Linked DNA regions of Macaca fascicularis. The protein of the gene in region 1 interacts with the protein of each later gene in a biochemical or structural test. Links are inferred from orthologs where the notes say so. Each region holds a gene or a part of one and is shown in the gene's direction. Other genes may lie near its edges. The genes, in order: PIAS3 and MITF.

Evidence for each region.
Region 2: the proteins of PIAS3 (region 1) and MITF form a complex in vitro, tested with the Homo sapiens proteins (2 studies listed by BioGRID). The link is inferred for Macaca fascicularis from reciprocal best matches to the Homo sapiens genes PIAS3 and MITF.

The regions. Positions count from the first base shown.
Region 1 is NC_088375.1:113,555,647-113,560,000, forward strand, and holds the start of PIAS3 (E3 SUMO-protein ligase PIAS3), read left to right. Parts: upstream 1-1,401; 5' UTR 1,402-1,492; coding exon 1,493-1,516; intron 1,517-3,503; coding exon 3,504-3,921; intron 3,922-4,078; coding exon 4,079-4,163; intron 4,164-4,354. UniProt on the Homo sapiens protein: Functions as an E3-type small ubiquitin-like modifier (SUMO) ligase, stabilizing the interaction between UBE2I and the substrate, and as a SUMO-tethering factor.
Region 2 is NC_088376.1:132,817,675-132,822,128, forward strand, and holds the start of MITF (microphthalmia-associated transcription factor), read left to right. Parts: upstream 1-1,641; 5' UTR 1,642-1,779; coding exon 1,780-1,883; intron 1,884-4,454. UniProt on the Homo sapiens protein: Transcription factor that acts as a master regulator of melanocyte survival and differentiation as well as melanosome biogenesis.

The DNA.
Region 1 (4,354 bases):
CCCAGCCTGGGTGACAGAGTAAGACTCCGTCTCAAACATAAATAAATAAATAGGTATTTCCATGGAAACAGAAACAGATTTAATCTGGGGCCTGCATGTGAGTGATCAGCTTGGTTGGGATGGGGCCTCTGGAGGGTCCAAGGCTTTGGAGGAAGGAGAGTGAGTAGGTAGTTCAGAGAGGGACAGAAAGATTCCTTTTGTTGGCAAGAAAACCCCTCAATTCATCTTCAGCTACACCAAAGGTATAGGGGCTCTGGTGGAGGTACTGTGCAGGGGTATCTGGAGTAGTTACTGTTAGGTACACTTTGGATTCAGTAGCCCAGGCTTTGCCCTAGGGAGAGACAGTTGTCATTTCAAGGAAGACTGCTTTATACGGTCAGACACCTGGTTCACACGGCCTTAGCAGCAGCGTGCCACCACCCCAATCCCACACATAAGCGTGAGGGGTCACAGAGGTAGTGAGAATGATGGGATCCAAGGATCTCATCTCTCCAGATCCACTCACACCAGGAGTTAATCGCTCCAGCGCCAGGCTCTGAGTCCCTCCCTCTCTCGCCCGAGCTCCGCCCCCCTTCACTCTCGGCGGTCCTGGCGGGCTTCCCGTGGAGGGGGCGGCCCCAGCCCGAGCGCTAGGCCGGGCGGAGCTCCGGCCCGGGCGGAGCCGCGGCCGCCGCGTCCGGCCGCTGGACCGAACTTCTGCCGTGCGGACAGCAGGAGCGGCGCCGAGCCCCATGCCCCCACCTCTCCAGCCCGCCCTCTGAGCCTCCCGAACCCTCTCTCCATTTCCCACAACTGTGCTGGTAAGTCCCGCTCCCCGCACCAAACTTTTTTTGCTGCTGAGTTTGAGTCCTACGATCGGACCACGAGCTGCATTGTAGTTGGTGTTGGGGGGGAGGAGGAGAGGGTGAATTGAGTATAGCTGTCTTGAACTGAATGCCGACTCCACGGCTTCCCTAAGACGGATCAGCGCTCGCCCATTTCCCGAGTTGGAAGACCTCTCGATTTTAGTTGCTTAAACTTATGTAGAGATGGAGATGAGGGTTTGCGCTCCAACTTCGCTACCCCCTCCCCCATTTCTCTGAGCTCTAGCAGTTCCCGATACTTTCCCTCCATCTTTCAAGTATCTTTGGCTCTCTAAAAGCTTGTCCCCTCCCAACTCTGCCGTGGCAAAGCCCCCCTCCACCAGGCACTTCGGACCCGCCTCCTCTTCGTTGCCCTAGGGGACCCCGCGATCTTGGGGGCCATAAACTCCCTCCGGGGCTACGCGTCCTGCCAACCCGCCGCAGACGTGTAGCTGCTGGGTCCGCTGTGGAGGGAGGGGCTCAGGCTGGGGCTAGTCCGAAGCCAGGCGGGCGGGGCCGGGAAGGGGAGGTATAGGGGGCCGGACGGGGCGGAGCAGGCGGCATTTGCGGCCGGCGCCGGGGTGGAGAGTTGTGCGCCGGTCCCTGGGCCTGAGCTCCGGCTCCGGCTAGGGCGCCTGCGATGTCTCAAGATGGCGGAGCTGGGCGAATTAAAGGTACCGGCCCCCTCCCCCATCCCCATCTGGACTGATTCCGGCGGTACGCCGTGTCCGGGAAGCGACCGAGACTGGGTGCCGGGGCTCGGGTGGGCGCCGACGACGTGGCAGGCACGGGCTGCTGAGGATGGGAAAGAAGTGGCTGAGAGCGAGGAAGGGGCTGCGGCGGGGCTCCGGGGGCGGGGCTGCGGGGCAGATGTAGGGGTGGGGCCGAGGGGAATTGCAGCTGTTGGGGGCTGAGGCGCAGGGGGCGGGGACGAAGGGTAGAAGTCGGATTTAGTAGTAGGGGCAGTTGTTGGGGTAGGGCCAGGGGGAAAAGCTGCTCTAGAGGCACTGGGGGCGAGTCGATCGAGGCCAAGAGATGCGACAGTAGGGGGCAGATGCAGGGATGGGACCGCGGGGCAGATGTAGGGGAGGCTCCGGGGGAAAGGCAGCTGAAAGGGTAGGGTCTTTGGGGCTACTCTCGGGATCCGAGCTTTGGGAAATACCAGTAGGCGGCTGAGATGCAGGGGGCGGGGCTGTGCGGGCTGATACCTCGAGGGGTGGGGCAGAAGCATCCTGGAGGCTCAGAGGAAGGTCCTGCCTTAGTGAATCGCGATGTTTGGGCAGAGGCAGAGGCATGTGAAACTATGAGATAGAAAGGAGGGAAGTTATAGGGAAAGCTAATGGAAAAAATAAGACAGGACAGAGAAGATAAAGATGGGGAGAAAGAGGAGCAAGTTTCTCATCACATTCCACAAAAGGGGTCCAAGACAAAGCCTCCTGTGAGAAGAATTGTGTAGGGCTAGCAAGCCCTGCCCATGACAGGATCTCCTAGAGATTCACAGAAGGGAGTCCTCCCTCTAAGGAGAGCGCTCCCCTCCTTCTGCCACACAGAGTTTGGAGGGTGACCACGTCTGAGGACATCTCATAGAACCTTAAACCACCGAGTTCATCCCCATGCCTCCTGGTTTTCTTCTGCCCTTTGAAATGGAGCTATGGTCCTGGGCAGTCTGGAGGTCTAGCCACTGGGCCCAGCTACCTTCAGGAAATTTGCGATTCTGTGCCCTGACTCAGAGGCTTTTCCTTCATCCACCCAGGGCCTCTGTTTAGAGCTCTGCCCGCTCCTCTTCCACCCGTGTAGGGGGGCTGTAGGTTGTACAGGAGTATTATTTTCTCTATGTAGGAGAGACGCCAGATAATGGTTCCTGGCAGATAGAGTAAACAGGCAGGATACTTGGACTCAGTGAATCACTGTTAATCTCCTCAACCTAAGTTTTGGTCCTGTTTCCCTTCCAGAAAAATAGGACTAAGTTGTGGGGAGGGGGCGGTTATATTAATGATTCCAAGAAAGGATCTGGGGGAGTAATGAGCATTGAACCCTGACCTGAAAACCCCGGCCCACAGAAGCTTCAGAGGCTTGGGGGAAATAGCTGAGGAATTAAGGTGGTTTGGAGGGGTGGGCTGAAGGGCACAATCCTCCAGCCACCTGGCCCCTTTCTTCCCCGTGGGGCTGTCTGGCTTGAATCCTCTTGTCTCTCCCTCCTTCTCCCTGTCTCCTATCCTCTTCCCAGGAGGCTGGGATGAGTTTGAGTGTCTGAGAAAGGGCAAGAGAGGAGATAAGCAGCTTAAAGGAGAGTCCAGACTAGAGGCAGGGTTGGAGGCGGGAGGCTGTATAGACTTGGAGGTGTGTCTGAGGGTGGCTTGCTGTCTGCCATTCCCTGCCCCACTCTGGCCACTTCCAGGCCTGGGGAGACAGACAGTGTTGCTCAAGCTTGGGGTGGGCAGGGGGTGGTGATGATGCTGACCTGATGGTTGCTAAAGTGGGACTGAGATGTCCCTTTGGATAGGTTGACTACCTGGCAGTAATCCACTAGCTGCGAAGCATCATCTTTCCCATCAGTGCTGGAGGGAAAAAGGCACTGCCCACCTGGTAGCTCAGCCCATGTCTTGGCAGGGCAGGCCTGTGCAACGGAGGATTCTCAAGCTTCTCTGTTCTTCTCCACAGCACATGGTGATGAGTTTCCGGGTGTCTGAGCTCCAGGTGCTTCTTGGCTTTGCTGGCCGGAACAAGAGTGGGCGGAAGCACGAGCTCCTGGCCAAGGCCCTGCACCTCCTGAAGTCCAGCTGTGCCCCTAGCGTCCAGATGAAGATCAAAGAGCTTTACCGACGACGCTTTCCCCGGAAGACCCTGGGGCCCTCTGATCTCTCCCTTCTCTCTTTGCCTCCTGGCACCTCTCCTGTAGGCTCCCCTGGTCCTCTAGCTCCCATTCCCCCAACCCTCTTGGCCCCTGGCACCCTGCTGGGCCCCAAGCGTGAGGTGGACATGCACCCCTCTCTGGCCCAGCCTGTGCACCCTGATGTCACCATGAAACCATTGCCCTTCTATGAAGTCTACGGGGAGCTCATCCGGCCCACCACCCTTGGTATGGCTCTTTGTGGTCCCTTAGTCTTCTGGACTCCCTACCTGTTCCCCAGACATTTCTTAGGCTTTAGTCCTATGGGATCAGTGACCTGGGATGGGGGTGATTTCTGTGGCTGCCTGTGCATGGGCTTGGAATAACTGCCCCTTTGTATCCTCAGCATCCACTTCTAGCCAGCGGTTTGAGGAAGCGCACTTTACCTTTGCCCTCACACCCCAGCAAGTGCAGCAGATTCTTACATCCAGGTACATCTCTTCCAGTCTTCCTCCCTCATCCCTGGGGGGTTACCCCTGGACTCTGCTTTCTGACTTTCTTCTCTTCTGCCCTGCGCTTTTCCCTATCCATCCTCTTGTACCTACTTGTCTCTCGTTCTTTTGTGTGTCTCTGCTCTATCCTCCGGACATCTAACTTTCAGCCTCTCTGTGCGTTCACCCCT
Region 2 (4,454 bases), on another chromosome or scaffold:
TTTGCTTTTGACAGCTAATTTCCAGCAGTCCATGTATTAAGGAATCTAGGATCCCACTTTTATGAGCACAAAACTCCCACTTTCCTATGTGTGTTCTCAGGTATTCTGACTTATTTTAATGGTTCCAGGGAAGGGCCTAAAAGTCGTATGTTGGGGATCAATTGTTATTCTGAAAAATTGGTAATTGCTACTGCAACCTAGTGTGCCTTCTGCACTTTTTCCAAATCTCTTTGAGAACTCCAGCCCTAACATCGATCCATCTTACTGGAGATCTTTTCTGATGTGAAATTAAAATGTTTCAGTGGGAGGCAAGACATGCAAAGGGGTAACTCCTGGAAGGTGCCCAGTTGTCACTGTAGCCTCTTTAGAGTTTTCTCCTAGGACAGTCATTTTGTTTATTAATTCTAAAAGGCCAAACACCAAGATGAGATGTTAATCTGAAAGGAAAAACTTCAAGACCTATTAAAGAATGACCACTGAGAAGGGTTTTTATAGATTGCAAATCACTTTCTCTTACATTTGACCTTGCAACATCTTCTAAAACTGGTTTGCCAATCTCTTCTTTTATGGATGAAGAAATGGAGGCTTCTAGGAACCAAGTGACATTCTCAGGATTGCACAGCTCTTCTTAGAAGGGCTGGGGATTTCAACTCTGAGTCTTATACCTTTAAATGCCACTGTAACTCTATACTGCCTCCCTGATGCCTCAAAACACTTTTAAAAAGAAGGAACACGTCCTACTGGAGCTAATCAGAGGAAAGGAACTAGAAGTACAAATGAGCCACAACAGAGAGTTTTAAAATTCTCTTCCCGAAGTGAATTCCGGGAAGCTCGGGAAGGAGTCGACACTTGTACATCTTCAGTGCTGAAATGCTAGGAAAAACCTCATTTGAACTCCCAGTCAACTGAGTAATTAAAAGCAGAGAGCAACGACGCTGTCTGTAACTTTGTGCCTTTTTAAATTAACCGAATCTTTCAGTTGCTGCTTTAGATTAGAAGTGGCTACTTGGATAAAGGGGAAAGAGCCATTCAACTGATGAATAGTATTGTAAAAGTCCAGACTTTAGAAAAGGAACGCACAAGAACAATTTCTCCAATAACGTTTTCATTACAAAGCGAAGGAAAGTTCTTCCTCGTTGTTCCAATCCGAGGACAAGTTGATGTGTCGCAGCAGCCCAGGGAAGCATGCGGGCTGATAGGAAGTCCTTTTATTTTAAGACAGGCTCGAATGCTAAAACTTTCTCGTGCCAAAACCCTTGACTATCTTATTTTTAAAATAAGCACTCGGCGTGCCCTCGCAGATGTCTGAGCTGAGAGGTGGGAGTGACGGTAGAAGAGCAGTCTGTGTCCGTTCTTATTCATATTAAGTAGCCAATTCTGTACCCTTGAAGCAAGTGGGGAGAGAGGAGGGAGAGGAGCTGCTGACATTGACAATGAATCCAAACAGGAGTTGCACTAGCGGTGTCCACCACGTTGCCGCTCCCCCCGCTTAGCCTTCTGGGAGCTGTAGTTTTAGTGGTAGATGCTCCACAGGCGAGCTGGGAATGCCCCACCAGGGCCGAACTACAGATCCCAGGCGGCGCTCGGCCGCCGGCCCCTCCCGCCCGGGTAGGAGTGTAAACTCCCCGCGCTGGGGCGGGCGGCCGCGAGCCGGCGAGCGGGCAGAGCTCGGCGCTGCGCGGGGGCGCACGGCTCGAGGGACCCAGGCCCAGCTACCTTCCGTCCGCCCCCGGGCTCTATTCTCACTTTCCAGTAGTGGAAGGACGGGAAGCAGGAGCCATGCAGTCGGAATCGGGGATCGTGCCGGATTTCGAAGTCGGGGAGGAGTTTCATGAAGAGCCCAAAACCTATTACGAACTCAAAAGTCAACCGCTGAAGAGCAGGTGAGTGGTGACAGCTGGACAGAGGCGCAGCAGGCGGCTGGGGGCCACTGCGTCTGCCACTCTGGGGCGAGGAGAGCGGATCGCGGGAGCTCTGGGACAAGGACCCAGTGCCCTTGCCCCGGGGCAGAGGGCGAACTGCCCCCCGCAGTTGGGGGCCGCGCCCGCTCGGCCCAAGTGCGCCTTTAGGAGGCTCGGATGGAGCGCACTTCGGAGGGCGCTGTGGGTCGTCGGAGACGAAGCGTCCAGGCGCGGGGACCCTCGGCTGGGGATGCCAGCTGCTGAGACTGAGTGGGGGCTGGGGAACGATCTGGCGCGATGTGGGGGAGGAGGAGCGCCGGGCCGGGACGCTGTCCCGGTGGGATGGGGGAGAAAGTTCTAGTGAACCCCCTTTCTGAAGATCCCAGCGGGTTGAGGGCTCGGAGAGGGAAGCTTTGGGTGGGTTAGGATGCGACATTGGAGGGAAGCAATTAGTTAGCTTGGAGTCACCTCTTGGGAGCCCGGTCCCTGTGGGGAAATTAGTCCCTGGGATCCTGCAGGTGAGGTTTCTCTGGGCTTCGCCTCTCACCTCCAGACCGCTGCAAGCGGGCGCGGGAGGGGCCAGGGCAGCGGTGGGCGTGTCCCCTAGTCTAAGTTAAACTCCCTGGAAATCCCATTCAAATCCAGGCCTTCACTGCAGAGGGGAAATGAGCCTTGGTCTTGGGGGTTACTGGGAGTGTACCCCGCTTGGCAGAGACACGTGTTTAATTCGCTGGGGACTTCAAAAACTTTTCAGGAGAGGAGTGAAGACATCCACTGCTGTGATACCCCATCCCCTCTAGTGCCCACTTCCTTTGAGCCACCCTTTTTGCTGCCTCCATTCCCACTTGTCTGTCGAAATGAATTGGGTGTCTTCCGTTCTGTCTGTCCGGCTGGCACTCTGGACACCTCGTACTTCTCATTTACGGTGGTTACTAAAAGGGACATGGTCAGTGGAGGCTGGAATAGCAGAGAAGGGTTTATTTACACCCCTCTAAGCTGTGAGCTGGGATAAGGCTATCATTGGAAGGATCCAGCAGGACTTCTGCACCCGGCTGTACCTTGCTGCCCTGCCCTTCGCTGTGGGTGGAGCCTGGGTGAATGGGCCTGGCCGGCAGAGTGGGAGAGGGTCCTGAAATGAGGGTGAGTGGAGCAGGGCAACTGAATGAGGAGCCAGGTGGTGTAATCTTGGCCTCTGGCGAGCACTGGGCTGATTCTTTTTCTAGTGGAAAGTGCAACCAGGTTTATTTCCTTCAGGGCTGTGGCAGGACTCTTTATCCCAGTTGGGGAAGAAAATCTGGGAACAGCGGACCTACTGACTGCCATTGCTGGAGAAGCCTCTTTGTAGATGCTTCATGGCAGATTGGAAGGAAACCGCCTAAGCAGTTCGACGTATAAAACCAGCCTTTAGTTGGTGGTTTTTCCTCATAATGGCTGTTTTGTGTGTGAGCATAGATTGTGTGTGTTGGGGGCTGGGGGTTTTGAGTAATATTGTGTGAAGGGTATTGTTGGTTATGCTCATCAGGGCTTTATCTGCATTCGGCTGAAGGGACCAGTGTTTTACTGGGCAGTCTCTGCTTTTGCTTCTATAAGCAAATGCTTACACGGCCAGAATGAGGGAATGAGTGTGTGTGTGGAATCCTGAAAGAAATAAATTAACCGGACTGTTTGGAACATTTCTGATGGTAGCTGATACATAACATTAAATCAGTTTGAGAGAGCGAGGAAAATACCATCTGGAAAAACCCAAATGAGTGCCGTGAAACTCATGTTGGACGATTTGGGCCTGTTCTTTTTCAGAGTCAGCAAAAAAGACTTGTAAGGGTGAACGTCCTCAGTAGCTAGCTAGCAGGGACGTGTAAGGAAAAATGTGGGTATGTGGGAAGAAATGGCTTCACACGTTAATGCTAGAAACAGGTGTGGGCCTGAACCAGCAGGGAAAGGAAGGCTAAATTAAAAAAGTTGTTGTAAAACTTGTATATGGAGCACACACATGCTCTTTGAAATAAACCAGTTAAATAAAATCTGTGAATAAATATATGGAGTTGGCAACATTTCTCTATACTGTTTTCCACAGTTGTCTAAGGTATTGTCGTCGACATCTGTTGTGTGACTTAAAAGGGCTACACATTGTTCAGGGCCTTCTCTCTCATTGCTTTTTGTCTTATGTCTTTGCTGGGGCACCTCACTTCTTATAAGTCTTTGTTGGAAAAAGTTGAAATTGGTATGTTAAGACTGCTGTAGCCGTTCTGCCTATCAACTGTCTTCTCTGGATTGTCCAGAGTAGTTAGAGTTGAAAATATGTCCAGAATCTGCCCGCTACCAACTCCTTTGCTACTACTTTGGTCCAAGCCACCATCAGCCCTTGCCTGGATTATTGCAGTAGTCTTTTAAACTGCAATGTCCACATTTAGTGAATTTTCAGTACAGTAGCCACAATGTTCCTGTTAAAACTGGTTCTCAATTGGAGGTGATTTTGCCCCCAGGGGTCATTTGACAGTGTCTGGAGACATTTGTGATTGTTACAATGGAAGGGATCATTATCCATCTCTAGTA